Schizosaccharomyces pombe: one gene and its partner. The protein of the gene in region 1 interacts with the protein of each later gene in a pairwise test. Each region holds a gene or a part of one and is shown in the gene's direction. Other genes may lie near its edges. The genes, in order: fap1 and pre5.

The links.
Region 2: the proteins of fap1 (region 1) and pre5 interact in a two-hybrid assay, tested with the Schizosaccharomyces pombe proteins (one large-scale study listed by BioGRID).

Annotation. Positions count from the first base shown.
Region 1 is NC_003423.3:571,336-588,477, forward strand, and holds fap1 (L-pipecolate oxidase), read left to right. Parts: upstream 1-15,207; coding exon 15,208-16,446; 3' UTR 16,447-16,926; downstream 16,927-17,142. Other genes in the region: RNAPII degradation factor Def1, read left to right, coding at 1-2,617; glyceraldehyde 3-phosphate dehydrogenase Gpd3, read left to right, coding at 7,396-8,403; Rho-type GTPase-activating protein Rga6, read left to right, coding at 9,912-12,113; protein Vac8, read right to left, coding at 12,459-12,625, 12,707-13,600, 13,717-14,076, 14,236-14,356, 14,419-14,501, 14,547-14,574.
Region 2 is NC_003424.3:3,212,360-3,229,501, reverse strand, and holds pre5 (proteasome core particle subunit alpha 6 Pre5), read left to right. Parts: upstream 1-7,347; 5' UTR 7,348-7,360; coding exon 7,361-7,379; intron 7,380-7,392; exon of another isoform or gene 7,393-7,422; coding exon 7,423-7,553; exon of another isoform or gene 7,554-7,603; coding exon 7,604-7,707; exon of another isoform or gene 7,708-7,881; coding exon 7,882-8,446; 3' UTR 8,447-8,653; downstream 8,654-17,142. Other genes in the region: cbc1 (nuclear cap-binding complex large subunit), read right to left, coding at 1-669, 719-969; tda3 (FAD-dependent amino acid oxidase), read right to left, coding at 1,310-2,046, 2,119-2,460, 2,522-2,573; TRAPP complex subunit Trs120, read left to right, coding at 3,259-3,424, 3,466-6,654, 6,720-6,997; cardiolipin-specific phospholipase Cld1, read left to right, coding at 9,264-10,550; cell end marker Tea3, read left to right, coding at 11,435-14,812; DNA-binding transcription factor Thi1, read right to left, coding at 15,196-17,142.

The DNA of each region.
Region 1 (17,142 bases):
GACGATTGATGATTTAAGTTTTGCTTTAGAAGAAGCGGACCGGGATTTGGAACTGACCATATTGCATATTACTGAAGGTCACGCCTCCAAATGGGGTGAAGTTAAAAAGAAGCCAATCCCTAAAACAAAGTCCAAACCAACAAGTCATGCTCCAGTTTCCGATAATGTCTCTTCCACCTTTCGTAATGCTACACGTAAATCAAAGAAACCTTCCGCTTCTAAGGATACTTCTCGGGGGGTTCGAAAATCAAAAGCAGGAGCTCCCTCAGATCCTTCTTCCGTTCATGCACCATCCTCTTTAGAAAAGCCTGCTGGTACTGGCGATCTTCCTTCCTCAGAAATTTCTACCAAAGCTCCTGCATCAACGACAGTGTCTTCTTCCGTTGATCCTGGTACTATTAATGAAGATTCCTCAATGAAAGATCATACTACATCTAATGAACAAGCTTCAGTTTTAACATCGGCTAATACCGCTGCTTCAACAAATACGAACGGCACCGCAGGCGGTACTTCGGCCTCAGCAAAGTCGACCAGTGCGGCTGATCAGGCTGTTGCATCTTCAAAGCCTATAAAGAAGGCTTGGGCTTCAGTTGCAAAGTCGAAGAAAAAGGTCACTCCCGCTCCCGCTCCCGCTCCCGAATCCGAACCTTCTAAACCCTCTATCGCTCCTTCTCAACCCTCTAAAACTAATGTTTCCGCTGCTTACGAAAAACCTGCTGAACTGTCATCCTCATCTGTTCCTTTCCCTCACAAATCCCAGGACTCTGCAACTCCCGCAAATGTTGAAACGACCCCCTCCACAGCTACCTCAGCTCCCAAAAAGAGTACTGCCCCATTTGCCATAAATGCAGTCAAGCCCGCTCCTGGGCTTTCCAACATCTCTTCTGCTTCCCTACCTAAGCCCTCCTTTGCGAAGCAAGCCGCTGTTGGCTCTCAAAGCTCTACAACTAGTATGACTACTGCTCGATTACTTTCTGATAGATTCCCCGTCGTTATGCCTGTTGCTAATACTGCTGCTATTCCCGAAAAGGTTCAAGTGCGTTTCGGAAGCTTGACACTTGGGGGTGAGGACAAAAAATCGACAAAGTCTTCTTCAGACAACATAGCACAGTCTGGACCAAGAAGTTCCTATTTTCCTAAAAAGACAGTTTCACCAAAGCCAGAGGCAAAAAAAGAGGCGAGCAAAGTTGCTGAATCCACCAAAATCCCAAAGAAACAACACACTTCAGCATATGAAAGCCGTGCTCCACAATCGAAGGTTCCCGAAAACTTGAAGGAATCTCATGTTAACGAGACACCATATCGTGGTTTACACGATGTAAATTTACCGGCCAGTGGAAACGCCTCTTCTGTCTCGGCCATCCCTCCTCAAGTATCAGCCCAAACGACTATACCCGCTGCATCCACAAGTGCTACAAGTGGCCCGGTGGTTGGTAAACAAAGTGCCGGATATGGCGGTATTTATTCTCCTGCTACACATGGAATTTCCCCTCAACCATATGCTGGTGCTAGTCTTATTCCTCCGTCTACCGGAGCTGCTTTTAACAACGAAACTGCATCTTCAAATGCTGGGGAGACAACTGCACTTCCATATTCTTCTAGATTTATGAATCCTGTGGAAAACCGCTCCGCCAATAGCCCATTCGACAATTTTCAACACATCGACCATAGTACTGAATTGGGATATGCTTCAAATACTTCTCAACAATATCAACAGACTAGTCATCCAGCATACACTACTATGTCTCCTATTGAATATGGTCAAGCTGCACCAGCAGCTCATTACTATAATGAGCGTAATCAATACTCACAATATGATAATGTCGCTGGTAGTGCGTCGAATACACCAGATGTGCACTCGGTAATGCATAACAAGGTTGCATCTTCTAATGCTACTTCTCTACCTGCTGCTGGAACAGCGACTCCTAGCCCTGTTGTTTCTCAACAACAGCCCCAACCTTATGCATTTCCTCCAATGTATCCTATTCCTTATGTGTCTTATGGATACGGTACGATGCCTTACAATAATAACAAGTTTGGACAGCCCCAGCAAGGATACATGTCTCAGAGCGGCTTTAATGATTTCCCTCCCATCTTTGGTGGACACAGCAACGTGTACAACAGACAACAGCCTGGCAATGTAAGTGGTATGAGTGGAACACAAACTAGCAACCCAATTAATAATGCCACTGCAAATACTAGCGGCATGACTGAGAAAGCGGCTGGACATCGTGACTCTGTGATTGGAAATGGAGGCGTAACCGGGGCGAACAGCATGTCAAGTACTTTGGGTGGTTTGTCTTCCATGTCAGGGATGGGACGTGCGGCTCCTGGTATGTTTATGGGTAATGTTGGAAGTTTTGAAAACCTTAGTGCCAATGCGGCCTCTCCTTATGGCTTACCTCCTCAACAAACGCCATTGACCAATGCTGCTACTCAGCAGACAACCTCTTTTCAAAGCAATGCTAACAAGGTCAACAATGCAAACAGCCAACCCGCTGGGTTTCCGTTCAACTCTGGAGCATCTACCAATGCAGGTAGTAATGGATTAGGAGGCTATAATGCATACAACCAGTCATTTATAAACCGACCAGGAGGTTGGTACGGTAATGCTTAAATTGAACTTATGATCAAAAAGTTTGATAACGTAGAAGTTGGAAAATGCTTTTTATAAGGATTCAAAAATAGGCTAAAAATAATTGCGGACAAGATGCTATTAATGGAAGGGTAAAATCGATTTTATTGGGACAATCGAATTTATGAAGTTTTTCAATATATATATGTGTGTGATTTATATGGCTATGTGGTCACATGTGTTTTCTGTTTGATAGTGCTTAATTATGTAGTTTGAAATGTTGCTTGTTCATATCATAACATATCATACCACGCCGTAATGTTGCCATTATATGGTAATTCCTTGTATGTTCATAGAGTATTTTTTTATTGCATTATTAAAACAAACTGGCGTTTTGGAAGAGGGAAAGGGTAAATAAAGATTTGATGTTAAGGTATTTGTAGGTGTGGGTAAGCAATGCGAAGTGGGATAACTAGTTTCAAGTAATGATTATTATATTTCCAAAAGTCAAGTGCTAATGAAACACGTTTAATCAGTTGGCAATTTAGGGGGGTGGTTCACTCGGCATTCCTATTTTAAACAATTTTTGACGGCAAATGTTAAGCGAATTCGCTAAAGCAAAGTGTAAAAAAAAAAAAGCTTCGCTAGTAATATATGCCACACTTCAGTCAACAACACTACGTCAACCCTATACGCTAAGTCTACTGAATAGAAAAACTTGATACTTTTATTTACATTGAAATGAAGAGCAAATTTGTATAATACGTATTATTGATTCTAGAAATATAGCAAATTGAAACATCCAAATTTAGCAAAACAGCATGTCGCTGTTGTAAAATTCTCATGAAAAAATAGAATGTCTAACCTTCACTACTGGCAAGATTCGTTCATGTAGATGTAGTTGAAGAAGAGACAGTGTCATACACAAACGTAGAAAAAGTTCTGAAAAGGAAAAAGACTCCTAGTAGATTATAATTCAAATCAAATCAAACCAATTAAATTCAATAGATCGATGTCTTGAAACATTAATTCCTATAAGGTTGAAAATAGTAGCAATATAACGCAAAAATAGCGAGTCGTAATAGCAAGTAAAATGGTAGTCATTATAAAGGGTTAACTGTATTTCAAGTATAAAGAACGGAGAAAGTTGGAGCAATGGCAATAACACATCGAGGAGTAATTTAGGAAAGTAGTGAGAAAGATGTTAGAAAGGAAATTTAGTAATTTGTAAGTAATGATTTCAGAACTTGGAACGTGAAAGGGAAAAAGATATTTTCATCATAAAGAAAAATTTGCCCATCGTGAAATAGAGAAATAGTGAGAAGAAAACCACCACCGAAATAGCGAGACCCGCAGTATGTTACTTCACGAGTCTCGCTATTTTAGGATTGCATAGGTTATCGGATGGAATCCAGTAAACAAATGGGTAAGGAAAAGTGCGATCAATGATGAGTGGGTTGGGTTACAAATCAATATAGTCAGGTGAAATTAATTCGTTTCTCGATATAAAAGCAATTGAGAAAGGAATTGGATAAAATTTACAGAGAATTAAAAAATGGAGACAAGAAATAAGTGAAATGGGAGTGAACGCTCTTGTAAAAAAGCTATTGAGACAAGTGAAACGGTGAGAGAATGCGTTGACAAATGTGAAAGAAAAGAGAAAAGGGAATGAATATTTATAACAAAAAAAGGTAACAGGATTATCGATGAATTTTGGGGAAAATTTATGTTGAATTGCATGACTTTTTAGAAATCACGCCTCGAATACCGTTAGACATATCATGGTAAACATGTGATTTAGGAATTGGCACATGTAAATGAGGTTGTTGGGTAGAGAGCGGATTTGAATGGTGGTAGATAATTTAGGGTAAATTTGGGATGGATAGAGTAAATGTGAAAATAGTATGTAGGATGGCGGGGGATGCGTGCGAAAGAAAAAGAACGATGCGAAATGAATTGTAAAGTATGTGACTTGGGATGATGCGAAAAAAAAAGAGTCTGGAATAAAATTTGAAGAAGAGAAGAAATACAGTAGGTGGGAGTGCAATGAATTGAATTGGAAGCGAGGAAGCGAACAAAATCGATGGATAACAAGTGAATGAACAACAAAGTGAATTTAGTTTAAAGTCAATTGCTTTGTTGAAAATCAATTTCCTCTGTTTTATCAAGTGTGCGAAGGACAAAGGGAGTAAGAAAGATTCAAAAAAAAAAAAGAAAAGAAAAAGAGGAATTCCTTTTATGAGACATCCAGTTTGTTTGCGAGAACGCCAAGAACTCAAGCGAATATGGAGAGACGACGGTGAAACACGGTATGTTGCATAGTGTAGTGCGGGGTGGATTGCAAGGAGAATGGGTAAATTAGCAAGCGAGCTGGACCCCATTACTGTGATGCATGAGGTAACGCAATGTGCTAAAATGTTTTGGAAAGAATGACACTCTACGTTAGGATAGTGCACGTTGTTGACACTGCTCGTTATGGAGGACAAGGAAGAAACTAGTTCGGCCGTTTGAAGGGAATGGGAATGGGAATTGAATGAAGAAAGAATGGATTGAAGTAGTCAATTGATTAAAAACTCATATTTTTTTGTGTTACTCATTGACCTTTATGAAGACAACAATTCTGGGTTTCCATTGCTTACAGTGTGTTTCCATAGAGCAAAGTTCTTTTTTGATGGCTTTGTTTTTACGTTGCATTACTGTGTTATTCCTCACTCTCTGTATGTGAGTCTCGCGCTGTTTCAGCTGCTTCCTCCTGCTTCCTTCGGTTCCTTTTCCTTTCTTATCGGACGGTGGCCCGCCAAAATTAATTTCGCCTACATAAAAAGTGACGCAATAGAAACTCTCGGAACCAGTATGGACTTGAGGATGAGCGCATCCCGGACCTTGAAAGGATCCTCGTCGATGGTTGATTCGTCAGCTCATTCACATAAGGTTTCTCTAGAAGGTGAATTAGGGTTCTTTCAATCCGAATCCGCCAACCATCACAAGACCTTGTAACCGCCCCGGAAACTCAAATTGTCCCAACTGCCGATCAATTTTTTCCGAAGAAACAGCTTACGATTAACCGAAGGAACGTCCTGGGCAGTCAAGCGCAGAGGAACATAGTGCAAAGCGTCGTAGTTCAGTATAGTCGGACAGCAGAGTATTGTTGAACTCGATAAAGTAGGGGGGGAGAGAGAGAGAGAAAAAGGAGTGGAAAGTGGTAGTAGGTAAATGAGAGATGTCAATAGAAAGCAAAAACTTTATACAATAACAATCTCAACATCAACGATTTTCCTTTTCCAACTGAATCTCTTTTCCAAACTGTGCACTGTAAACAATTGTTCTATATCTTCTCCTTGTTATTCTATGTCTTCTCCTTCATGTTCCACGTCTAACCCGCTCCCTTCCTACCTTTTCGCTACCCTCCTACCCTCCTACCCTCCTCCATCCTCCCTCACAAACAGATGATGTTAACGAGACTTTGCACCTCGTTATTCCCGAGGAGCCGCTGGGATGCCATGAGCCTTGCTAATAGCCCTGTTAGCACGGTCAAACAAAATCATGCAATTCAATGCAAGAATCGTCAGCCTAACAACAGCTAACTGGGCCAACCCTCTAAACATTCCATTCCATCTAGGCATTGGAAACGCCATTCCAAGGGCGGATTGATGGATGATGGAAGGGACGAGACTGACACACACAGCAGATATACTCGATGACTATTAGTGAAGTGAGTCGATGAATAGTGAAGTAAATGAACATTTTTATAGAATCAATAGAAATGGATTGAATCCAATTGCATTCGAAATTTCACAGTTGACTTGGATTTACCACTTGTCTCATTTCTCCCACTTGTCCTCTTGATTACTATGCTATGCTATGCTATGCTATTCTCTTCTCTTCTTCTTTCCTCTACACTCATTGTTTACATTTCTTTTTCTTTTCCACCGCCATCCCAACTCATCCATTCCATGCCATTCCATCCTTGCCTCTCTCGTTCCTGTCAAGCGAGGCGAGGGAAAGGTCAACGCAATGCGTCGATTGTTGTATGATTATGAGCCAAAAATATTCGCATGGGAAGTTATCTAGAAGGCCGCTAATTTCATTATCCGATCTGCCAAGTACCGAACACGGAAATCGCCGCTTACGATACCGTCGTTGGCATGACAACTCTAGCGTAAACACATACAATATAAATAGGAGTGGTAGGCCAGTCTGCTTCTTTGTAGTATCAAGAAATCAGCAATAGTACTTGTTTGGTTTTGAGAAATAGCAATCGAATTAATTAGGTATGTGATGCGCTGTGGCATTGGCAAAGCATTGGCTTGGTGAGACATGTGACATGTGTCAAACACCTGCCAAGAGGGAAAAATAGATTGAGGAAAAGGAAGGGATATTTTCTTTTGATATTCTCTTTTAGTTGAAAAAGATGGATTTTGAGCGATGAATTGAAATGAAAATGGTCAGTGAGATTGCCAAGAGAAGAGGCTCTCTGATTTTACTTGACATGACGAAAACATGTCATATCCAGTATGGTGAAATTGTACAACGAAGTCGTGATAAGATTCGTTAGTTTCCGTTTCTTTCGGTAAAGAAGGCTTTATTTTTCGCTTGACGGCAGTTTGGTCAGAAATTAAAATAGACTTGCCGAAAGCGACAAAGCTGCTGTTTTTAGTATACTTTCTTTTCTATTCTTCTCTCAATAATGATATCTTTTCTTTTAATGACGCTCATCGTTTCTTCTTCTTCTTCTCTTCGCTTTCTTCCCTCTCTCGCTTCTTTTTGCCTTTTTCTCTCCTCTTTGATCTCTTCTTCTTACTAACTCTTTTCAGATAACAATGGCAATTCCTAAAGTTGGTATCAACGGTTTCGGTCGTATTGGCCGTATCGTCCTCCGTAACGCCATCCTCACTGGCAAGATCCAAGTTGTCGCTGTCAACGATCCTTTCATCGATCTTGACTACATGGCATATATGTTCAAGTACGACTCTACCCACGGTCGCTTTGAGGGCTCCGTTGAGACCAAGGGTGGCAAGCTTGTCATCGACGGTCACTCCATCGATGTCCACAACGAGCGTGACCCCGCCAACATCAAGTGGTCTGCCTCTGGTGCTGAGTACGTTATTGAGTCCACTGGTGTCTTCACTACCAAGGAGACTGCCTCTGCTCACTTGAAGGGTGGTGCCAAGCGTGTCATCATCTCTGCTCCTTCCAAGGATGCTCCCATGTTCGTCGTCGGTGTTAACTTGGAGAAGTTCAACCCCTCCGAGAAGGTTATCTCCAACGCCTCTTGCACCACCAACTGTTTGGCTCCCCTTGCCAAGGTCATCAACGACACCTTCGGTATTGAAGAGGGTCTCATGACCACTGTTCACGCTACCACTGCCACCCAAAAGACCGTTGACGGTCCCTCTAAGAAGGACTGGCGTGGTGGTCGTGGCGCCAGCGCCAACATCATCCCCTCCTCCACTGGTGCCGCCAAGGCCGTCGGTAAGGTTATTCCCGCTCTTAACGGTAAGCTTACCGGTATGGCTTTCCGTGTCCCTACCCCCGATGTTTCCGTTGTTGACTTGACCGTCAAGTTGGCCAAGCCTACCAACTACGAGGACATCAAGGCTGCTATCAAGGCTGCCTCTGAGGGTCCCATGAAGGGTGTGTTGGGTTACACCGAGGACTCTGTTGTCTCCACCGACTTCTGTGGTGACAACCACTCCTCCATCTTCGATGCCTCTGCCGGTATCCAACTTTCTCCTCAATTCGTCAAGCTCGTCTCTTGGTACGATAACGAATGGGGTTACTCCCACCGTGTTGTTGACTTGGTTGCCTACACTGCTTCCAAGGATTAGATTGCTTCTTTCGATTTATTCCGTCGTCAATCTATATCTCTCTAATCAGCCGTTGTTAAACTCCAAGCTATTCAACTGAACATGCGTTCGGTTTTGGGGGGTCTTACATATGTGCGAACTTTTGGTTTTTTATTCTTATGCTTGTTTTCCCCCTTTTCCTTTTCTGGGGTTTGCTACGATAATGATAGACATGTATGAGATTTTCCTCTTTTATTCCACGTTATCATTTTGATTGCGCTCCTAGGGCGATCTCTATAGCTGACGACCTTTCTACGAAATAGATTAAGATATAATTTTAAATGAATTGTTTTTTCTTCACTTGTTTTTAATGTGTAAAAAATCCGTAAAGTATGTGGTGTATGAAAATTTTGATTTGAAATGTGGTAGTTTATTGGAGGTAAAAAAGGTAGACTGATTTATAAAGCATTATATAGTTATCATAGTTGCTTGTTAGCATTCTATTACCGTTTGCATTTGAGATAATTGTTTTCGTCTTGATGATAGATATTCGCTAAGATGTTTCCATAAACTTGGCCCACGCTTTTTTGGGTGAAGTAAATAATTTTTCAGTCCTTTTGAGGGCCTCTGCTGCCTATCTTTACTGCCCCTATTTGCAAGTTTCTAGAATGGAAGTGTAAGTCAAACGATAAGAAAAATTATATATTAATAGATAGCAATTTAAATTTAGCATTTTCATTCTTAGTGTTCGTTCACTCCACTTTCCAGATCAATCTCAGACCATCAAGTATGATGATGAAAGCGAGTGTTCCATTTAGGCGGTTCTCGCAACTCTTAATGTTTGATACTTAGAGCTGTTTGTGCTTCAGAAAATTATTCAAAAAATTTCATGCTTGCATTTGATTCTTTTCTGGATAACAGCTAATCCTGTTTTTTGTATTTTGTCCTTTGGTTTTTTGATACCGCATTGCTAGTCACATGTACCCTCATAAAAAATACAGTTATATCTAAGCGAGAAACAATCGCTCGATTGCGAGGCTCATCTATGGAACTGTTTATACTTGTGTCTCATGTTCCAATAGCTTGAAAGTGTGTTTAAGCATGAGATTGTTATTTAAATTATCAATTCATATAGTAACAATATCTGCTTTGGTGCCAAACATTTGAATTCCTTACGAACTAATAATAAGATTGCTTCTCAGATTTCTCAGTGGAATACTTCCATTAGTAACTGCACCATGGGAGTTTGAAAGCTGCTGTCTTTCCTTAAATTACAATAGTCCGTGTAGAAGATGAGTTTTTGGTTCGTTCAATATGTGACTACTTGTTCACCTATCTTTCGCTTCGGCTCGTACTCTACTTTTCAACGCCTGCTACTTGGCTGAACCTCTTAGTAAGTAACGGATGTAGAACGGTTCTTACCAAAGCCAACGTCTCTCTAATCGACATTTATTTCAAAATTCTATCAGTGGAGAGTATATATTGAGGTTTATAGCTTTTACGGGCCTCGAAAACCTCGTGTAGTAAAATTTGAAATTGTTGGGAGAAGTATGACCTTAAATCCTTCGACTCTCAACAATGGAACTCTTGGGGACCTGAAAGAGCACAAGGATGTCGTCTTGTCTAGCAATGCGCAGACCGATGAGAAACGTTTCGAAGAACCGTCGCTAGAGGTGGGAGGATCGTTAGCGAAAGTGGAAAATGGCCTTTCCACATCAATTTCATCATCTGCAAGCAATTTGGAGGGACAGCAAGCTCCTTTCTTTACTAAGCAAAATTCGTGCTTGTCACGCTTTCGTGAGCTAGCTCAGACTTACAACATACACGAAATTAATCTCGAGGAGTACGTTTCCCAGATAAAAGAGGTTAAACAATCTCTGTACTCCGACGATAGCGTATTTAATGAATCCAAAAGTTCTTCACCTCCAGATGCTCATACTGATAAATATTTCACTCCATGTGGATCCCCTACTAAGCTGATACACTCGACACTATTGGAAGAGAGAGATACTCCGTCCTCCCTAGAACATGTTAGCTTTTACCTTCAAGAAAGCGCAGTATCAGAAGTTCGGTTTGATAAACCTTCAAACAATGGTCCTCTAGGGAGGTCATCCCTAAATCTAAGCTCCCTTTCACACGAGTTACAAACTTCACAAGATTCTCCCTCCTTGTCGGCTACGAATCAACTATCCTCATCAGATACGTTGGAACCTCTCCAATACCCACCATCTTCATTTGGCTCTCAAAGACAGTTCAATGCCTCTCAAGATTCTCCAAAGCGAAGCCCTTCCAAGGGATCTTGGTCCTCTATCCTCCGCCGCCCCTCTCTTACTTACTCTCCAAAACGTCAGTCCACTGGCTTGCATCGTCGTTCTTTAACGAATTATTTTAAATTTCCTCATCGTAATGCACATCAACATAATGCAATTGCTCATAATCCTTCCGTATTTGGTAAACCTATCGGCGATTTAACGTCAGATCCCACAAATCTTTGCAAATTTACATTTCCCACTCCTGAATGTGCACCTCCTTCTTTGTTGCTCCCACATATTTTTGCTCAATGCGTACATTTTCTATCTTTAAATGCTTTGCATGTACCGGGAATTTTCCGCATTAGTGGTTCTGGTCCCGTAATAAAAGCAATCACAGAATACTTTTATTCTCCACCTCATTTTTGGCTTGATGAAACATCAGAAATTTTTAAGCGTATTGGATTTCCAAGTTATATCGATATAGCAGCTGTCTTAAAACGGTACATTATGTTATTGCCAGGTGGCCTTTTTACGCATAAAGATATATTGAATCTTTTAGTACCATTATACGTTGATTCAAGTAGAGTAAAGGTTCCTATAGACATCCGGAATGAAATGGCCGCTCTTTGCTTTTCACAAATAGATTCTTACGTGCGCTTTTCTATCCTTTGCTCTCTACTAGCATTATTGCATCAAATAGCTACACGGACTCAAGAGTTGGAAAATGGAATGGAAAATACCAAAGACTCTACTTTGATGAAGCCGGAAGCCCTTGGTATTATTTTTGGTCCTTTATTGTTGGGTAACTCTTCTACTGATCTTTCGAAATCTTGTCCTTCTGGAAATGTGAATGACCTTATGAGATTTGAAACCGAAAAGGCTAGAGTTGAAGCCAAGATTGTAGAGGGACTGATTATTCACTGGCCAGAGGTACTACTTAAAATCAATTCTCTCGACATACCCAATTGTTTTTCTGATGTTGGGTTAACTGACCAAGTTGCTATTTTTACTCCTGCAGTCCCGAAAGAAGATTCTCCAGAACAGATACCTGAAAATGTGAATGCATCTGAGGAAAGTTATCCTAATGTTAAGCATATCTCGAAGCTTCCTTTAATCAATGACTCTTCCGATAATGAATCGGGTAACCAAGAAAATGATGATGCTGTAGCAAATGAGAGTACCAAAGTCGTTGTTGACAATCAACAGCCCCAGCCTAAGATTTCCACCGTTTCTGATACTGCTGTTCCTTCCATGAGTTTTGCTAATAACATTTCATCGCGGTCGGTTATTTCAGCTGCTACAGATAGTAAACCGTCAACTCGCACATCACCGCCATTCGTGAACAATACAAAACCGATCGTCGCAAAGTCACCGGTCACTGTTACTGCTTCTTCGGAAACCAATAAAAAATCGCAGAAGATTAATAAAAAGGCATCTCCAAGGGTCAGTTTGTGGACAAAACTGTTTGGTAAATTCCGATCAAACAAGAAGAAATCTTAAGAAAGGATTTCTGTTTTCGGTGTCATTTATTTATCATATATTACAACCATTTGTTTGCTCTTAAAGTTTAGGTTCATTTTGATATTTTTTGGTTTCATAGTAGTATTTATTAAGATATGCATGTTAGTTTTTCCATGTCACATGTTTTATTCAGGTGTTGAAGGGATAAGTTTATTATTTGGAATCAACTACGGACGAACTTTTATCATCTTCTAAAAAACTAATCATTAATAAAATGTGATTCATGTCATTAAGTCAAATAGACTTCCGAACTGGCAAACGGGGTTGAGACGGTAAAAATATAAAGAGATGAAGGGTAATATAATGTGCCAATAAAAATAAAAATTAAGAATCTGTGTCCTGTTCAATTAAATGCAATGCCCGGCCAGATAATAATATAACATCGCCTTCACCATCTTCATACTCTCCATTATTAGCATCTCTAGCAACTATGTCATTAAGTAATTCGATGATATCGTCGCTAGATTGTATAAATGCAGTTAAACGTGGAACTATAATGAGTTAGCTAAAGAATATATTCCGTATATCGTGTGTAGACAAAATCGTCAATAAATTCTCTAAAAAAAACTTACCACCAGCCTCTAGTAATTGTACAATGGTCCAAGCAGCAATATGGGCAAAAGTAGAATCTTCACTACTTAAAAACCTGACCAGATAACCATGAATGCCACCAGCTGGAGAATCCCAACACTCTATGAACCGGCTATAATCATCGACATTAGAAGAAAGATTACCCAGAGCAGCCGCAGAGTTGCCTTGGACTTCAATCGACATAGAGTCTGTCAATGGGATTAAAACATTACAAATACCAAAGTTAAGAAGATACGACTTGAATTCGTCACTTAAAGCAAGAACGGCTAGACAGGCAGTCATTTCACTTTGCACGCTAACAGGAGCATCTAAAATTAAACAGCGAAGTTTTTGAATAGCATTAGCTTCGATAATAGCGCGCTTATTTCTCTCCGAGCTAGCAGCTAAGTTTCGTAAGGTAGAAACAGCATGACACTGTATTTCTTCATTTTCCGTACAAGATAATAAATCCACCAACGGACGAAGAAAACCAGCATCAATTATCGGAGACTCATTTAAAGGATGTATAGAAATGTTACGGATACAGGCAACGGAAGCAAGTATTAAAGGAAGGTAGGAAGAACGAAGCAATCTTAATAAAGAGGGTAGGGCATTGCTTTGAACAATTTCTATTTGATAACGCTCATCAGAGGCAAGGTTTCTTAATGCTAAAGCAGCTTGGCACTGGACTTTAGGACTTGAAGTATCCATTAATTGAATAAGAGAACGAACGAGTTTCGGCTCACTTTGGGCAAGTCTTTTACGGTGTACTGCATCAACAGCAATATTACTAATAGAAGTAGTACAATAGTATTGAACGTCAGTGTCAGAGCTAGGAAGCAAAGATACTAGCACTGGGATAGTACCAGCGCTGACAAGTTGCTGTCGATTTTCATCTAGTATCATAGTTAGTTGATATCCATAGATTATGAGACAACCACTAATTGAAACTTTTTGCTCAAAACAAAGCTCAATAGATTAACAAATAATTAGCGACAAATGTATAACTTACATGAGTGAGTCATGTTTAACAATGCTCCAGTTGCATTTCTTTGAACTCTAATGTCCTTGCTTTTGGCAAGACGGGTAAGAGGGCCCAAGGCACCAGAATGAGCTATTTTTGATTTATTTTCGTCAAGGGTAGCTAAATTAGTAATGCAACCGACAGCATTGCATTGGACTTCAACGTGAGGAGACATCATTTGACGAATTAAAAGGTCTAATCCATTCAATTTGACGACCAAGGCCTTATTCTCGGCATTTACAGCAAGGTTTCCTAAAGCAACGCTGGCAGCTCTCTGTATTTCAGCATCAGGACTCTGGAGTAAAAACAAGACGGGCTCTATAGTTTCACGATCAACTTCTCGAACATCTAAAAAAAGTGTGTTAGTCAATCACTGTAAAAAAAACAAAGAAAGAAAGTTGATAACACAATATATATATTCTTTCCGTTTTGTTAAATCAAGACCTCATTGTTCATTTCCGAAGTTGGGAATTGTTTAAACCAAAACTATTGTTTTTATGTCATTACCTTTTTCAGTAATTTCTGCAAACGCAAGCGCTGCTGAACGCTGTAGATCAAGGTTATCGGAGTATGCCAAAATGGTTAAAGCACGTAAGGGCTCCTCGCTGTAAAAGTTGACTTCATTTCTCTACAACAAGATAACGTTAGTCAAGAGAAGGTAAGAATTTAAAGTAATCGACATTCACTAACATCTTCAAGAAAGCTTAATAAATCCGCAACAGCTTCCCTCTCCCGATCGGCCAAAAGAGGCTCATACTGTTCATCTTTTGATTCTATGTATTTGTTAATAAGTTTTTGATTTAAAGAAGCACTCATACTCTCACAACAAGACAAGCAATTGCCCATCTGACTTTGTTTATATGATTGTTTAGTGTTTGGAGGAAGTTAAGTGACAGTAAAAGCAAATTGCAAGGACAGTTAGCAAAACAGGGTTGCTGTGTTATCCATTTATAACGTTACTTACAGTGTACAATAAACAAACTTATAAAATCCCAAAACCTCGCAAAGCTAGTTAACGAAGTGGAGTTTCGGAGAATTAAAATGTAAACAAGACAAGTGCGAAGAGTATTTTTCCTATAGAGTGAAAATAAAAGATATTGTTCATTTAAATAAAGACTAAAATATAATTTTTAAATAAACACCCGGTTGTTTTGGACCATAGTTGATTTTGATAACTCGGCATGACCTGTGCTAGCAAATTGGCACATTCCCTCTGCACGGCTCAAATCAGACTCGCTTAGTTGATTTATTTTCATTCTTTCTAAGTGACTAACTCTGTATCAAAAGAACTACTGCTAACATCAGAAGTATCAACAGACTGTGATTTTGCGATATCGATGCCTGACTTCGCTAGACAGCACCTTATCTTGGAGTACTAGTAGCTGGCAATGAGTACTGATAATATATATTAAGCCCGACTGCTAAACCACCTTTTAAAATTTAATTTAAACCGCATCTGTAATATTTTTGGGATTAAGAATGGTAAAGAATACTAGCGTAATCATTGTTGGTGCAGGTGTGTTTGGATTATCTGCAGCTTTAGAGTTGACTAAACGTGGTGGATATACGATCAAAATCTTGGATCGAGCACCTCCGCCTGTTATCGATGGGTCTTCAGTCGATGCAAATCGTATAATTCGTTCAGACTATGCGGATGCAGTGTATTGTTCAATGGGTATTGATGCTTTAGAGGAATGGCGCACAAATCCACTTTTTAAAGAGCAATTTTATGGATCAGGACTTATGTTTGTTGGCCGTGACAATGTTGAGTATCGGGACATGAGTCTGGAAAACCTGACAAAAATGGGTGTGTCAGCAGCAAAGTTTCAAACTACAGAAGAATTGCGGAAACTTTTTCCAAAATGGATTGGCGAGCTGAATGATGGAGAAGCTGGGTATGCCAATTTTAGTTCTGGATGGGCCAACGCTGAGCAGTCTGTGAAATCCGTAGTTAATTACTTAGCACATGCCGGTGTTTCTTTCATTAGCGGACCTGAGGGAACTGTTGAAGAGCTTATAACAGAAGAAAACGTTGTTAAAGGCGTGAGGACTACTACTGGAGCTTACATGGCCGAAAAACTTATTTTTGCTACAGGTGCATGGACTGCATCTCTTTTACCTAATGACCACACACGATTCTTGGCAACCGGTCAACCAGTCGCATACATAAAATTGACTCCTGAGGAGTACATCCGCTTTTTGACAAATCCTGTATACTTAGATTTTGATACTGGATTTTATATTTTTCCCCCTACCCCCGATGGTTATCTAAAATTTGCACGCCATGGATACGGATTTACGAGAATGCAAAATCTTAAATCCGGAAAAGTCGAATCTGTTCCACCAAAGAAACCTCTCGTTTCTCCTATCCTGCCCAAGGAAGCGGAATTAGATTTACGCAGAAACCTTCAACGTACTTATGGCGAAGAAATTAGTCAAAGGCCATTTTACAAAACCCGTATTTGTTATTATACCGACACAGCCGATGCCGAGTTTGTATTTGATTATCATCCAGATTATGAAAATCTGTTTGTATGCACAGGTGGTTCAGGCCATGGATTCAAATTCTTTCCAATCCTCGGGAAGTATAGCATAGGGTGTATGTTTCGTGAGTTAGAGGAGCCCTTATTGAAGAAGTGGAGATGGAAGAAAGAAAATTTGGAGTTTGCTGCTTTAGACCACAGCCGAGCTGGACCCTCTCGACAAGAGCTAAGCTAAGATGTGCAATGCTAAACAAAAGAAAGGCTAGCGTCTATCTTTCTAGGCTACCTTATTTTTGTGTTGAATACTAATTGATTCTTCTTCATTCGAAATATTACGAGCATTGAATGTATACACATTAACAATTAACATCAACTTTATAACATCCAGACGATTATGTCGGTTTACTGTTTTCGAATAAAAACAGGGACATTTTCTATACCCTTTACATCGAACTTTATGTCCTGAATTAATATTACAAAGCATGCTAAGTAAAACCTTTTTTTCAATTATTTTAGATATGCATCATATAGCTAACTCGTTGGCTTTAAGAGAACTAAAGCGTCACAGCTTACTGAGGTTGTTTTTGATACTTAGATGCAATTCAAACATTTATAAATAATTAAATTTGACAATCTAATTAGAAATAACATAAAAAAAAAAATCAAAATAGAATAAAATGATCAAGAAGCTTTTTGTTTAAATGCAAATACCGTACTCGCTTTTATTCGTTGTATCGGTTAAACGACGTTTTACTGTTACGTTATCTGCCAATCTCGGATTTACGTAGCATCAAGTACGCATATCTTACCGCAATATTTAGAGGCGACTTAGTTTGTTAATATATTATATTTTTACACTAGTTATTGGAATGTTAACATTTTGAAGAGCAAGATCGTTTTATTTTCAAAAAGATTTTGCTGGATTCGTTGT
Region 2 (17,142 bases), on another chromosome or scaffold:
GTGCGAATTTCAAAGTTATTAAAAAGCTCAAAAAATCTCTTGAAGGAAGGTAGCTCATTTTGCTGAGGAGTGGGCTGAAACGTCCATTCAGGAATACTTGGGCTAACCGGAACAATATGAACGAAATCAGATTCAAAAAACTTCCAGGGTTGAGATATATAAGGAAAAGTAAAGTCGTTTTCCCGAGATAGAATTAGTTGTTTATAGAGTAAGTCCAATTCCTCCTCTGAAAGATTGTCATGTATTGAAAGGGGATTACTTAGAGTTATCGAAGATTTCCTATGACGAACGTAAATCTCACATTGATCCAGTATCTCATTAGCAAAATCCTTTTTACCGAGATCGTTGTTAGCTGCGATGAAATATGGAAGGTTTATCAAAATTATGCGCAGGAAATTATCTCCCCAGACACTGGGTTTGGTTTCTTTTGAGATAGCGTCAGCCAGTAATGAAAATAGTGGCTTAAGGGTACCTGGTTGAAGTGCAAATGACATGCAAATGAGCATTCGTAGATCGACTTTAGCCTCGTAATAAAGAAAGGAGTTTAAATTCGTAAAATACTGTAAACAAAAATACGCAGCTGCTTTTTCTAAGATTAAAGGAACCCTTAATGAGGCTCTTATAATTAATGTAGCCAAATGAGGTATTTTGACTGGAATGATAAATGCACTAAGGATTAAATTAGTTTTCTGAAGGGACAGTATAAATTATCACTTACGTTGTCTGAATGCAATCTAAGATAGTTGAAATGGTTTCAGGATCATTAGCTTCACGACTAAGAGACATAGCAACATAATTAATGTCATCAGCAGCTACTGAATTTCCTCGAGGATCCGCCAAAAAGGTAATATCCTTTTTTATACGCGCTGCAAGTAGCTCTTGAGAGTTTCCTCTATGGGGACGAAATCCATAATTCTCTCCCTCTCTCGTCCTCTTTCTGGGTCGAGTTGATCCCCGATAAGAAGACATTTTGTGAGGAATGTTAGTGTCTTACTGTTGTTGGCGTATAGCAGAATTGTAAAAACACGAGCAAGTGTTCTCAAGTAACAATCAACTTAGAGGTAACGAATGGTATACTAAGTCGAGATGGAAATTGTAAAACAAAAAAAAAGAAAATCGATTTTCCAATGCGATAAAAACGAAAACCTTAATAAATATGATTAGAAAATTTTACAACACTGTAATATTCTATTTCGGTAAAGGAATAAGCATCCATTCTGCTTCTATATTTTCACCTTTCAGTGAATGAGTCCTTCGTTTTTTTTGACAAACAATTAAAACAAAAATTAGAGGATATAATTTGAAATCCTCATTCACCGAGATTTAAGTGAAAAGGATCTGTGTTTATGCTTGTTTTTTCCTTGCCAAGGAGCATTTCTGCCATACATAAACCCGTGGCAGGAGCTTGAGTTATCCCCCAGTTGGCGTGACCCGCTGCAACAAATACACCAGACTTGGTTGTTGATATTATCGGGATACCTGTTATTCTACTGGTAGGAAGGAACTTAAAAGATGCGTCTAAGTAGTTACTCTTCGTATTCTCCGAGAGCACCAAATCGGTCATTTCTTTCAATTCGATAATTTCAAAAGGATTAAAAAAACATCGATTACTATCTTTTGGCAGCAAATGGAATTTTGGAGTTCCCATAAAAATAAGCTGCTCCCGGTTTTTACTGAAAATTTCGGTTGTTTTGCAAATGTTTAGATTACCCATGGTATTTAAACAACACACAACAATGCTGTCGCCAACGGGAAAATTTCCTACCGATAGGTGAATTATGGGAATGCATAGACCTGCAATACCAGTAAATGGTAATAGATAACCAGTCCAAGGCCCAGCACTCACCAGCGTTTTATGCACCTGTGCTTTTATTATTGTATCTTCAGCTTCTTGTTTTGGAACGTATGTAATATGGTGTTTACTAACCTCTTTCACACTTCCAAATATAAACTTTACTCCTCGTTTTTCTATTTCTTTTGCCATAAATTGACAAAACAATTTTGGATTGATCATTGCAAAATCGTTGCCGGAACCGATACTAGAACCTAAATGGTTAGTCTCTATATGACTTATACAATAAAGTTATTATTTTTTTTTGGTAGCACTTATGAGCTTACATTTTTGCATGCGCTCTCGTTGAAGCCATTGCAAAGTATCGGGAACTTTGGCAACATTGGTATTGTCCCATTTCATCTTACAAAACCAAGAATTGGCAGTCCTATATTCCCAGTTTTTCTTCCCATCAAATTTTTTATCCAATCCTTCATAAAGCTTCAAAGCGAGAGTTGAAAGTGGCTGTATGATTTCATTCTGGCACAGTTTTGTCAAGATTGCAGAATCAATGCCGGAGCTACCTCCTGCTATTTCTTTTGATTCAAATATAAATATGTCCAATTCTCCTTTTTTGTATTCTTGTTCTTCTGTTAAGTAAAACGCCGTACAAATTCCAATAATGCCACCTAAAAATCATCGTCAGCATGCTCACTCATCATTTATGAAACTGTTGTTCTCCAAAATTACCTCCTACTATTCCTATCTTTGTCTTATTTCCTTCTCTACTTGTAGCGCTCATATTTGAAGTTGGAAAGTTGACTTGAAACACAATCATCTTGCTGTAACGCTTCTAAACATTACGTTATCCTCACCAGTATTTCCTTCAATCTCTCTTATTTTTTTACCATTTTGAGAATAAAATAAATAGCAATAATAATAATAACAAAACGGTTCAATATTCAACAGTTTTTGCCATTCAGAATGCCTTTCATAAATTGCTATGGCGAGATATACGATTCTTTCATGAATACCAAACGATTGTAAAAAAGGAAAAAAATTACAAAATACTCCTCCTAATCTATAAAGTCAAGTTCGCATAAACAAACGGATTTTTAAATTTTTGAAATGCCAGATTCACATTCTTCAGATAGTTTACATATTATTTACACATGCCTTAATTAAAATTACTGCAACCAGTTCATTGAGTTGTAATTATATTTTGATTCCAAATAATCTACTGAAAACAGCTGTACAGCTGTATATGCAGAATGGTATTTCCAAAGCATAACAAATATTAGACATTTCACAACAATGATAATTGTTAAGCGATATCATCTTGAAAAGTTTATTTTACCGACTTATGATCGACAATCAACAGAAATATGCAAAATAAATTAGTGATGGTATGGATGTAATCCGTTAAATGGTATTCAAGCACTTTGTTCTCAGTACGTGCTCCAAAACATTACATTGCTGGAGATGCTATGGAATTTGATTTTTTTTCGTTTGTTGCTCCTTCCAGAGTTCAATCATTAGTCCTTCCTTTTGGTCGTGTTAGAAGAAAAAGTTTCTCGTCCTACCTACAATTACTCCGCAGAGTAAGTCATATTCAGTTGAGTGATGTCCCTGTAGCTACTGCTACTAGAAAATGTATGTTTCTTATTTTTATGATTATTGACTAATCTTAATAGCGAGTTCTTTCAATCCTTTGGCTTTTCCGTTGGGCAGATTGGTGTACAATTTCCTAACCAGCCTTGATGATCAACAAGCTCTACTAGAAGAATTTGAATATTTTCGGCGCGTTTTCGTTCTTATTGGTATTGTAGATGGGTCAGAGGAACAAGAAGTTGAGCAATTATGTTCTACCTTGGATGTTTGGCGGAGAAGGATACCTCATGCGTTAGTTGCAAAATGCATCGTATTTAATTGTCCAGAAGACAAAGAGAATATATTTAATGCTCCCAATATCATAATAGGACCAAGGTCTGATTTTTCAATAAACTCCGTAATGCGGTCTATTTTATGCGATATCACTGCTGAGTTGTTAGAAGGATTTAGTTCGCTCGAGTTTTCTATACACGCGCGTTCCGTGATCCTTTCTCCAATTACTGACATGCCACATTTGGCTCCCTTGCAAAGGAAAAATTCTAATGCGTCGATTCACTCCTTAGGCTCATCTTCTCGTCCTACTTTGACGAGAACTCCCTCGATCACATCAAGATCTGTGAATAGTGTAACGGAACGATCCAAAAGTCTCTCAAAGGGGCGTATTGAGAACCAATTTGGCCAGCTATACTTGCTGGCCGGCAGAGTTCCCAATGCGTTGAAGCATTTCTCAACAGCCATAGCGCTTTCTAAAGCAACTGGAGACTTTCTTTGGCAAGGACTTTCGTTGGAGTTATTTACTGTTTGTCTGGTTATAATGGCTCATTTGCATGTGGACGTCCAGATTCCTCCTAATATATTATCCATGTTCCCTTCTTATAATGATAGATTGAATGCCTTTGGACCACTCAAATTTGATGCACTATTAAACTTTATCACAGAAATGCGCAACGTAGTTGATCAATTATATCAAAAATCCACTCTTCAACCTAATGATGCTGTCCCCGGCCTCTGTTTTTCCGAGAGTATCCTACGGTATGCTCATTTACTCACAGTTGTTTATAGTTGTAAAGGATTTAACGACAACGCTTTGGATCATATTATTGCTCAAGCCCCCATAAGACCTGTTAAAAAAGCTACAACGTATGTACCAAATAAAGCAACTATTTGTCAATGGATTATGAGAGCCCAAGGACAGCATCTTAACTCTCTTTCAATTCGTGAACGTTGTCGCATATACGGGGCTATGGCAAATATGCTTGGAAGTATAGGATTTTCTCGGTTAAGGGTCAAGATGTTGCGTGAGTTGGTTGCGAGTTTAACACCTGTACTATTAGAAACGCGTAGGCAAAATGCTTCAAAAAATGGAATACATCCGGAGGTTATTGCTTCGCATACCGCACAATCCTTTAAAAGCACTCATTACTGTAACATCTTACCTTTGATATCTGAAATATGTCAAGAATATGGCCTATTGAAAACTGATGGTAGTCTTCTAAATCCAGAATTAACAAAATGGGGTTGGTCAAATTTACAATTTGATGTTCTTAATGAGCTTATATCCCTTTGTGATTCTCTATCTGACTATCGCAGTATTCTTCTTTTAATTTCTTTGTTTTTTCTCACTTCTGTTCAAACTGCTTCTTCTTCCCAACAAATCTCTATGTTTAAAGCTTTTAGAAAAACGTACCTATTTGCTAGCAATGCTGGTATACACATTAACGCTCCATACTGGGACCCATTTATGATAACGGATTTAAAGTTCATTGGTTCGTCCGAGAATGCCGAATTAATTCATCAACGGTTAAGAAACGGGTTACCAAAATCAATTGAAAAAGGACCATTCATCTATAATCCATTTAATAGAAGACAGGACCAAAACCAATCGAAATCAGTCCTCGTTGTCGATGAACAAGTTGCGTTTTCGATCTATTTTCGTAACCCTCTTAGTGTATCAGTTGAAGTGCAAGATGTTCATTTAGAAACGAAAGGGGTTTCTGCAAAATGTTCACATTCTACTTTTACGATGCGGCCACTATCTATAGAGCGTACTACACTTACTGTAACTCCTACGGAAACCGGAGAATTACATATTGTTGGTTGTCGTGTAAAAGTCTTTGGCTGTGAGCCAATTCTGCAGTATGTTTACGAAGCAAAGGATAAACACAAGTCATTGCACGTTTACCTTGAGAAAAGTAAAGACGTCAATGCTGAACTTCGTTCCTTGGATACCATCGACCATTTATGGACTTACTTTCCGTTTAAAAAGGACTTGAAAACTAAGTCATTTGATTGTATAGTTATAGCTAGCCAGCCGAAATTATCGCTTGCTTTTCAAAACCTAACATCTGGAAAGTTTAACTTTGCTGAATACGAAACGGGTGAATTGGTGTATGTAATTGAAAATACGTCTTTTGTTGAGGCATCTCACATATCTGTTCTTTTTGAGGACAGTTCATCCAAAGCTTTTGAGCAAGCTATAGCGGATAAAAGTATCACAGCAGATCGATTATATGAACTCCAATTTGAAGAATTTAACCTCCCAACATTTACTGTCGAGAGTAGCCAACCGTTTTCACTTTCACCAGGTGAGCGCAGGGAAATTCATATTAAAATCCGGGCAAAGCCAAATTCTCAAGAAGGATTGATATTATTTGAAAGTAGTGTGCATAAGCCTGAAGACACAGAATTTTATGTTAGACGTCTAAGAATCCCGGTTTCTTTAAACATAAGTAAAAGAGTGGATTTGAAACAATGGTCTGCGTTTATGGATACTGAAGGAGATCCCAGCTACTGCTTGGTGCTATTAAACTTTTATAATCATTTCTCTGAGCCTTTATTTGTCACGGTTAAAACAGCAAGTACCGATGAGTCCCGATCAGTTTTAATCAAACCAAAAGCTGATAATGTCATATTATTCCGTTTAAAAAGATTTATTATGTCCTCTGAGGAAATCAATCTTGATATTCCAAACTTATCTACAAAGCAATTCGTACTATCTAGCGGATTTAAAAAAAGTATCGAGGATAGCTATACTATGAAAAAGCGTTTTTGGATTAAGGAGTATTTTCTAAAAGAAGTTCAAGCTTCTTGGAAAACCGACGATAATCTTCACCATGGAGAGATTTACTTGAGAAATCATATTTTGTCTGACGAAATGGCAAATAATCTATCTATTCTACCAATTAGGATTCAGGCTTGGGTTAGCTATGATTCTGAAAAAGTCACCACGGTTTGTCCGCGAGAACCATTCAAACTTGTTCTTGAATTTTTCGGTATGCAATTATTGATACTTCATATTCCTTCCTATGTCTTTTAATTTTACTAATTTCTATAACAGGTCATGCCGATACCAATATGCGTTATAAAATATCGTGGACTCAATTAAATACTCAAGCTAACACTTCTTCCTTCAACGGACTAATTTTAGATGGCCCAGAAGAGGACATTGTATGCTTTAACAATTCCAAATGTCATGTCGTGATCGAGCGCAACATGTTTGCATATACAACAGGGATGTACAATATATTTGTTCGTATTTTTAACGAAGAACTACAATTGCTATCGCAGCCTGTTGACTTGGATGAGCCCATACTACTAATTGTTGATGCGAAGTAACTCATGTCATTAATGTTCGTCTATATTACTCTTTTTCTTCCATGTCTTGAAATCTAATAGTTTTGATCCGAAAATAAATAAATTTTACATATTTTACTCTTAACCATGCTATTCAGTAAGCGCTTGGAAGAGTGTCCACGTTCAGAGGTATCAGGTCGTATTTATAGTTTCATGCGTACAAACGTGAAAATTATATAAAATTGCAACTTAATAATTTAGCATCAAAAGAATCCAAGGTATGCTTGCTTTGTAATTATTATAAGTGGAATACGTTCTGCCCCCACTTAGTACCTTTTATTTCTAATATTTAGCGCAGGGCTACGAGATTATTAGAAACATTAGCTGAACGTGACCAGAACCAATATGTTTAGAAATCAATATGGTAAGTAAAATAGAAGAAATTGGTCTGCTAACTTTATAATTAGATGGAGATGCGACTACGTGGAGCCCTCAAGGAAGACTCCATCAAGTAGAATACGCATTAGAAGCTATTAAACAAGGATCAGCTACGGTTGGACTCGTTTCCAAAACACATGCTGTTCTAGTCGCTTTAAAGGTATCCACAATTTTATTTTACTAGGGCCTCCATTAACTTTCAAAATGTAGAGAAACGCAGAGGAACTTAGCAGCTACCAAAAGAAGTTGATTCGCATTGATGACCATATTGGTATTGCTATAGCTGGTTTGGCTCCTGACGCCAGAGTTTTGAGGTAAGGCATTTAATGGATGTAAGACAGTCATGCAAAAACCGTAATCTCTATGTGTGTTTGCTTTGGTTTTTGAAATTGCTATCGGTGGGAATACTTTTTTTGAGAGTATTACTAGGCATAATGATTTTGTATATTACAATTTACGTTTGTTATAATGGAATATTAACGCAACAGTAACTATATGAAGCAAGAAGCTTTATCGTCTAAGACTTTGTTTACTCGACCTATTCCTGTCCGTCGTCTAATGAGCAAGGTTGCTGAAAAGGCTCAAATTAATACTCAGGAGTACGGAAGGAGACCTTATGGTGTTGGGTTTTTAGTAATTGGGTACGATGAAAGTGGTCCACATTTACTCGAGTTTCAACCTTCTGGCCTTGTTCTAGAATATTTGGGTACTAGTATGGGTTCACGATCCCAGTCTGCTCGTACTTACATAGAGCGAAATTTGGATACATTTCCGGATTCTAGCAGAGAAGAACTTATCCTCTCAGCACTTAGAGCTTTACGTGATACTCTTTCAAAAGACCAAGAACTGACCGAAGAAAACGTTTCTATATCCGTCATTGGAAAAGATGAAAAATATACTCTTTACGATCAAAATGACACAAAAGAATGGCTTGATAAATTAGGCGACAAAGGTCCCGCGGCTGCTCGTGCTTCTAGGGCTGCCGCCGAAGAACCTCAAGCGCCTACTGCGGAGGCTATACTTGACTCTGCTGATGCCATGGAAACTGATTAATTGCCATGATTCAAATGATACCTTTCTTAAGTACATATGTCATAGAATTCCGAAAAGATGATTATCCTTTATAGGGATTTTTCTTAGCTATCCTTTTTATTCCTTCGACAATTACGATTTCTGGCATGTCATTTCCAAGCTATTAAGTTGCTGGATAGAAATCTAGGAAATTTAATGAAAAATAAATGTTAACTTTGTGCATAGGAATGTATTATTTTATGTAATTTGCTAAGTAATTAGATGAATGGTGCTATACTTGATACGTTACTTATTATATTTATATGAATTAAAAATAATAATTATTAGATGTTCATAACAATGACCAATGTCAATAGTGTTGTCAATAACAATGCCGGAAACAAATTTTAATATTCTGCTGCACTGAAGTATTTATTGCATAAAGGGACTTTATCATATTTGAACAATTGCTGTATTAAGTATTGAACTAAAACCTCAATTGTCTTTCTATGAAATTTTCATGAAAACTTGCTTCATCATTTGTTCGCCTTTTTTTAATTCAGCCAAAATGTTACGAAGATTAACGAAAAAAAGTCAGAGAATGTGCTGCTTTTCCGCTGCTTGTTACAATGCCATTGCTTTGTCAGATCAAAACCTTCGTATCTTGCTTACATAAACTTACCCACAGCACAACACTTTGAATTCCAATTGCCGAGCCAATATCCGGAATTTTATTTAAATATCGGAATTATTTTGTTTTAAATAGTTCATAAACAGTAATTTGTTTGTATTGTCATTATCGCGGGGTTGACTCCTTCATTGACCATTTTGTGTTGAATTCAGCGTTTGCACCGTTACTATGAGCCAAGTGAAAGTCGCGGTGAGAAGTGAGGAAGCAGCTAATTCTTATACGCAAACGTTTGGCATGTCCTGGAGGCAATGGCGTCAAGCATGCTCTGAAGAATATGCGAAACAATGTGAGCGTGAAGTCCTGCACACTGTCGATTTTATTCGGGAAAATGAAAAGGACCCAGAAAGGTTAGTTGAAGTTGTAGATTCCAAAATCTACGATAATGATGGATTGGTACATGAGGTTTGTGTTAGTGATAAAGCAACAGGAAAAGCGAACAAGCGAAGCATTGTTTACATGCATGGGTATGGAGCTGGTCTTGGTTTTTACTTTCGGAACATGGATGGTTTGACTAAGGGTGTGACAAAGGATTTTAATTCTTATTTTGTTGATTGGCTAGGCATGGGAAACTCGTCAAGACCGCCTTTCGATATCAAGGGGCAAACCGCTTCAGAGAAGGTCGAAGAAACAGAGAGGTTTTTCACTGAGTCATTAGAAACATGGAGAATCGGTCATGGTATCGAGAAAATGATCCTTGTGGGCCATAGTATGGGAGGTTATTTGTCTGCTGTCTACGCCATGCAATATCCGGAACGTGTTGAGAAACTCTTACTAGTTAGTCCAGTTGCCATTCCTGAAAACCCTTTTGCAAGCAACGATGATGCGGAAGTTTACAATTCCGTTGCTTCCTCTGCTGTGCATGCTGTTATGGATGAACCTCCTTTAAGTAATGTTACTAATGAGGTTCTGCAAACCCAAGAGGAAACTACAGGTTTAGAGCCTTCCCGGCCAAGCAAGCCAAAGAATCCTCTTCCAAGATTTATCACCTTCTTATGGGAGCAAAATGTTACACCATTTTCTCTACTTCGTTTAAGCGGGCCTTTAGGTCCTAAACTAATGAGTTTTTGGTCTAGCAGAAGGTTTTCAACGCTTCCCCCGGAAACGTTTAGGGCATTACATAATTACTGCTACTCAATATTTCGTCTCAAGGGTTCCAGCGAGTATGCACTTGGCAATTTGCTCGCTCCCGGAGCTTTCGCTAGACGATGTATTATGAATCGCTTGCGCATGTTGAAGTGTCGAACTATATTCATGTATGGAGATAAAGATTGGATGGATGATGTTGCTGGTTTAGAAGCGACAAACAGATTGAAGGAGATGAATATTGAGGCGGAGCACCACATAATTTCAAATGCTGGTCACCATTGCTATCTTGATAACCCTGAAGATTTTAATGAGATTGTACTAAAGGAGATACGAATGAGTTTACGTTCTTTTTCTTCGATTTCAGAGTAAATTTTTATTTTTTATGCCCTTCGCTTAGTGCTTCATTATTTTTATTTATTCTTTCTTGTCCTGCAAACTATCCCATGTGATGCTGTTATAGACCTCATTCATTAATTTATACTACACATTATTCTTTGGATTCCAATTGAACGACTTTTTTTTACCTAACTTTTTATCGGTCCATTTTGAATCGATTTTTATTGCATTGACGCTCATTTGCTTCATTTATCGCAATTTTATTTTTTTGTCCGATTACTTGTCCAGCATGTGTTTTCAAATGTTTTATTTTTAAAATGTGCCTTATAAATCAAATTTTGTAATATTTGTAGGCCATTTACTACAATTAGCTTATAAAGTAAATAACAGTTTTTGTGGTTGTCTATTTTAAATTCTATCCTATAGAGTAATTGGAAAAATACATTTTTCTTGCTCTAAGCTTTTCAAACGTGAAGCATATTTCGTACTTCTAAATTTCAATTCAAACAGAGCATTCAACGGTAATGTATACTATTGCGCTTAAACTTGTATCTACTCTCCCTTCTTTATGTTTAATGAAGATATAAATTATAAACATCATACAGTATTACAAAAATTTATTGTAGGGTATTGCAATTGTATTCGTTGTTCTAAGACTTCTCTACTCTAAGTTGCCGTTTCCTGATGGACTGTGTGTTTCCATTACCCTCCACAAGTTATGCTCTTTTCATATTATTTCGAAAATTTTACTTTTTAATTCTTTTTTAAAACTAAAATATATATTTTTTCTATTTTATTTCTTTTTTAAGCGTAAAAACCGAACCTTTTAAAAAACTCCTTGGATTAAACTTTCGCTTTGATTACCATCTGCAACTGCAAAACCAGTAAGCGATTTTGCAAGGTAAAGATCGCAATACATGGTTCAAAAGGTTTTAAGCCGTCAATCGGATAACTCTCAGGATGTGTCTGCTGAACAGCTTGATGTAGTGGAATCCGGTAGCATTGATCAGCAAAATATACGTGCATGGGTTGTTCGCAAAGTCAAAGAAAATGATAAAAGGACATCTACGAACCAAAGTTTTAAATGGGAAGCTGTAAAACCGGCTTCTTGTCTAGATGCTGCGAATGAAAAATTCATGTACTTACATGGAGGACGAGAAAAATCTGGTATTTCAAACTCTTTGTTTAAGTTGGACCTGGATTCATGCACGGTTTATTCTCACAATAGAGGGGAAGACAATGATTCTCCTGCTCGAGTTGGTCATTCTATCGTTTGTTCTGCTGACACTATTTATCTTTTCGGAGGATGCGACTCAGAAACAGATTCCACATTTGAAGTTGGCGATAATTCATTGTACGCATACAATTTCAAGAGTAATCAATGGAATTTGGTTTCAACACAGTCCCCCTTACCATCGCCTCGCACTGGACATTCTATGTTGTTAGTTGACTCTAAATTATGGATATTTGGGGGTGAATGTCAAGGAAAATATTTGAATGATATACATTTGTTTGATACCAAAGGGGTTGATCGGAGGACGCAATCAGAACTCAAGCAAAAGGCAAATGCAAATAATGTTGAAAAGGCTAATATGGAATTTGATGAGACTGATTGGTCATGGGAAACACCGTTTTTGCATAGCTCATCCCCTCCACCTCGTTCAAATCACTCAGTTACTCTTGTCCAAGGAAAAATATTTGTACATGGAGGGCATAATGATACTGGTCCATTAAGTGATCTTTGGCTTTTTGATTTAGAAACACTTTCATGGACCGAGGTTCGTTCTATAGGAAGATTTCCAGGTCCGCGGGAAGGTCATCAAGCTACTACAATAGATGACACGGTTTACATTTATGGTGGTCGTGATAATAAAGGGTTGATACTCAACGAGCTTTGGGCTTTTAATTATAGTCAACAGCGGTGGTCCTTAGTCTCAAATCCGATCCCTATTTTGCTTTCTGATTCATCTTCATACAAAATTGTTTCAAAAAACAATCATATTTTACTATTATATCTTAATGCACTTGACGCTCCTAAGCAACTGTTATGTTATGAAGCAGATCCCAAAAATTTGTATTGGGATAAGGATAAATTTTCTGATATTCCTGTTCTTCAGCATATTAGCATGAAACCTTCAAATGCTTCAAACCACACGGTTTCTCTTGGTTACCTAAACGACCGTCCTAATCATTCCAAAAAGAATTCTGTGACATCCACCTCGTCTAGTCAATTTAACAATTTTTTGGAGCAAAATCAAAAAGCCGTAAGATCAGCTAGGCATCGGCACTATGCTAGCTTGGATGAACAAGGATTACATTCTTTGAGAAACCTTAGTAAAACCTCTGGAATGAATCATTCAGCAGATTTCTCTCTTCACGAGTTTGGGCAAGCTGACCCCTTTGCTTACGAAATTGAGAAACCTATTGCGTCTCTTCCTTTACCTAATGGAAACGATACTATTTCTAGGTCTTCCGAATCTTCATCTCCAATCAACGAAAGTGAAAGTAATTCTCTGCTTAAACTCCAATCAGATTTTAAGTTTTCTAATTCTGATGATCGTGTAGCTTGGCTTGAGGAGCAACTGTTATATTGTATGCAACAAGGCTATACTCTCAAACCTCCTAACCTGTTTCAACACGTTGATGAAAAATTGAGGCTTGAGAAAAAAGAGCAGCTCAGTTATTTGGAAATACTGAAGGTGATTGAGCAAATGCTTGAATCTAATGAACAAAAGTTTAAAAAGCAAATCGTTAGCCTAGCATCTGAAAACGCAAAATTGGCTGCTCAGAGAGATGCTGCCGTGGAAAATGCAAATTATTCACGTTCACTGATCCAGAAAAAGACAACGGACGAAACTGTTGGATCTTTAATAGAAAAAGTTGGAAAGTTAGAGTACGAAGTTCAAGGGACTCTTGAAGAGGCAACCTCTTATTATCAAAAAAATACTGAACTTCAACAGTTATTGAAGCAAAATGAATCCGCTTCTGAACTCTTAAAATCTCGAAATGAGAAACTTTGTGTAGATTATGATAAACTTCGTAGTGTGTTTGAAGAAGATTCATCAAAAATACTATCTTTACAAAAAGAAAATGAAAACCTACAATCACAGATATTGCAAATTTCAGAAGAGTTAGTCGATTATCGTTCTCGTTGCGAGGCTTTGGAGTATGGAAATTATGAGCTGGAAACGAAGCTAATTGAGATGCATGATCGAGTGGAGATGCAGACAAATGTGATTGAAGCATCCGCTAGTGCTCTTGATGTGTCCAATACTGCCATATTGTCTTTTGAAGATTCGCTCCGTAGAGAAAGGGATGAGAAAAGTACGTTGCAACAGAAGTGCTTAAATTTACAGTACGAATATGAGAATGTTCGGATTGAGTTGGAAAATTTGCAATCTCGTGCGCTAGAGTTGGAGTCAGCCTTAGAACAATCAGTGTCTGATGCTAAATACTCGAAAGCTATAATGCAAAGCGGATTATCAAAGTTATTATCTTCTATTAACGAAAATAAAGATAATCTTAAAGAGTTTTCGAAGTCGAAACAAAAGATCTCCTACTTGGAGTCTCAGCTAGAAGGGCTTCACGAGTTGTTACGTGAGTCCCAGAGACTTTGTGAGGGTCGCACTAAAGAGCTACTAAATTCTCAGCAAAAGCTCTATGATCTAAAGCATTCATATTCCTCTGTAATGACAGAGAAAAGTAAACTTTCTGATCAGGTCAATGATCTTACCGAGCAAGCAAAAATTACTCAGCGTAAGCTCTCTGAGGTACAAATTGCATTGGCTGATTCAAAAATGAATCAACAGTTATCAGGAAAGGACTCTACTGACGTTCATCTTCCTACGGACTTTTCAGCTTCCTCCTCTCCCTTAAGATCATACTTTAACGAAGAGGATTCATTCAATAATGCTAGTGCTGCACATAGTTCAAAAGAATCTGACATACCTTCTGGTGGTGTGTTTACAAAATATCGTAATCATTTTGGTAATTTGATGACATCTGAAGAAACAAAAGCCCCGGATAACAATGATTTACATAAAAGACTTTCTGATGTTATCAACAGTCAGCAAAAATTTTTGTCTTTGTCCCCTCAGGTATCTAAAGATTATTATGATGTTCGCTCAAAACTAAATGATACCGCGGGCTCATTTTCAGGTGAAGAAATGCGTGCAATTGATGATAATTACTATGCCAGTCGTATTAAGCAACTGGAGGATGATTATCAAAAAGCCATAACATATGCCAATTGCTCAGATGAGTCATTTCAGCAGCTTAGTCATTCATTTATGTAACTCTATTCATCAACTAAGGATTTTTTATCTCTTTTTTGGTTTGTACAATTTTCTTAATAATTTTTTGAAGTGGTTTGATTTTTTCTACTTAATCTCAAGTCGTTTGACTACGTATGTAAATTACCACTATATTTAACAATAAAATACGCAATTATTTCTACTGCATTTACATTGACTCATTTATATTTTAAAAAGTAATGAAATTTAATTAACTTTTAAAAAGTAAGAGAAAATTTAAAGTATTAGATTGATGAGGATACTCTCAAGTGCAAATTACTAAACTGGTATTAAATGCTAATTCCTTAACCACGCGAACAAAGCATATGATGAATTACGTAGAAATAATTAAAACAAACAAAGACCTGCAAAAAACCATTAAAGATTCATCCATTTTTTTCAAGGGTCAAATTTGAAGTTTGCTCTGCAGTATGCGAAGACTGCTCAGAGACATTAGTAGGGCCTAGCAGTTCCGTCCAACTCAAAAACGTAGGAGCCGTCCATTGTTTATCAACTTCCAAATTGAGAACTGGATCCGGTAGAAAAGTTTCAGGTGTGAGCAAACTGGGTTGGTTACTAACATAACTTTTGTTTAGACCCGGAACATTATAGAGAGATGATGTTTGGTCAAAAGGTTGGAATGCTTCGTTTGGAGTACTATTACTACCATTTGAGCTTTCTCCTGTAAGCTTAAAGGTAGAAAGCATGTCTCCATGTGACATATCTCCCACCCAGGATTGCCAATTTTGAAAACTATTTTGGAAATCTGCAATCGGATTATTAATGTCTGGGGCATTGCGCCTAGATAACTGTTTGTTAAATGACTTAAGGTAGTTTAGACTTTCTCTAGCAAATTCACACCTTGAACTCAGAAATTCCAATACCTGCCATAATTTTGTGACTACAGCTTGAATATCCTGAGAGTTTTCGTAATGAAGAGACAAGAGTAAAATAGGTGCGCTTGCAAATGGAACATGCAGCCCGAAAAACGATAAGCTGGACAAACACTTATGTGTTAATAAAAGATGTGCTATGTTTATGACCCTTGTTGCGCTTTCAACACATAGCTGGATGTAGCGACGATTTTCAGCAGTTAAATCTTTATCTTTTAATTTCTTTACCATAATAACTCTCGTAGTAAGCATAATCGCATTATCATATATCATTTGAACATGTGCATTTGACCGGAAGAGTGGATGCTGAACAGCCGATTCATCAAAAACCACAGAAGAATGTAAATCACTTTTCCAAAGCTCTAGACGAGCATAAATCCTACGGACAGAATTAACTTGCGATTCAAAGCTTGGAGAAGGGTTCCAGTACAGCGAATCGCAAATCTCATTTGTTAACTTAGCCAAGTTAATAACGGCACGCATGTTTTCGACGATAGACTGAGAACCCGGTATTTCTAAATCGGGCAATATAACAGGGTAAGGTATAGAAATGCATTCCAAAGGTATGCTAGGGCGTCTTCCAGTAGTCATGCTTACAAAACGGTCAATACAGAAAACTGACCACAACAATCGGTTTCTCAATTCCTTGGAATTTTGGGTAAGAGAAGGATCATCAGAGTTTTTGTGAAGTCCTAGGGCAACCGCAAATTTGATCGCCAAACCAAAATATGCAAAACTAGATTTTTCATAAATGGTAGATTGAAGATACAGACCAATAAGTAGGGAAGATTGAACTGCACTAACGTCTGATTGTAAAAGGACGAGTGGAAAAATGCTCAGCGCAGCTGAAAATAATCTGTTACCAATGTTGGAGGCATGAAAATTCGACTTGCTGACATCTTCCTGTTGTTCTGCCGTATACTGATTGCCAAAAGCAAGAACCATAAGTAGAATGCACAAAAATCCAGCATCAATTTGGTTTTCCATCGCTAAAAAAATCTCTAATCTACATTTGAAAAAATGGGGATGATAAACAAACAAATTGGTTTGGACGTTGATAAAAAAAGAATTGATTAAAAATTCAACCACAGCTTTGGAAGGGATCAAGCTTCTTGCATGTAAAAGTAATTGTTCATCAAATTCGGAATATGAGACGGAAGGTGATAAACGCTTGGAATACAAATCGTCTTCAGAAATTGATTCAAGCTCCAATTCGTTTTGCAAACGTTCAATAAACGCCTCAGAGGTTGTTGGTCCAAGATAAAGCGTATCTTCAAGTTTCCCTACTTTGAGTTGATCTCTGAACGAAATGCCTGGCTGTACCTCACCTGCAATTAAGGAAGATGATGATTGCATTTCTTCCGTAGTTCCACTTATATGATTTCTGCTTAGCTGATCATTAATTCGTACTAATGTGTCTAGCTCATTTGTAACTTCAGC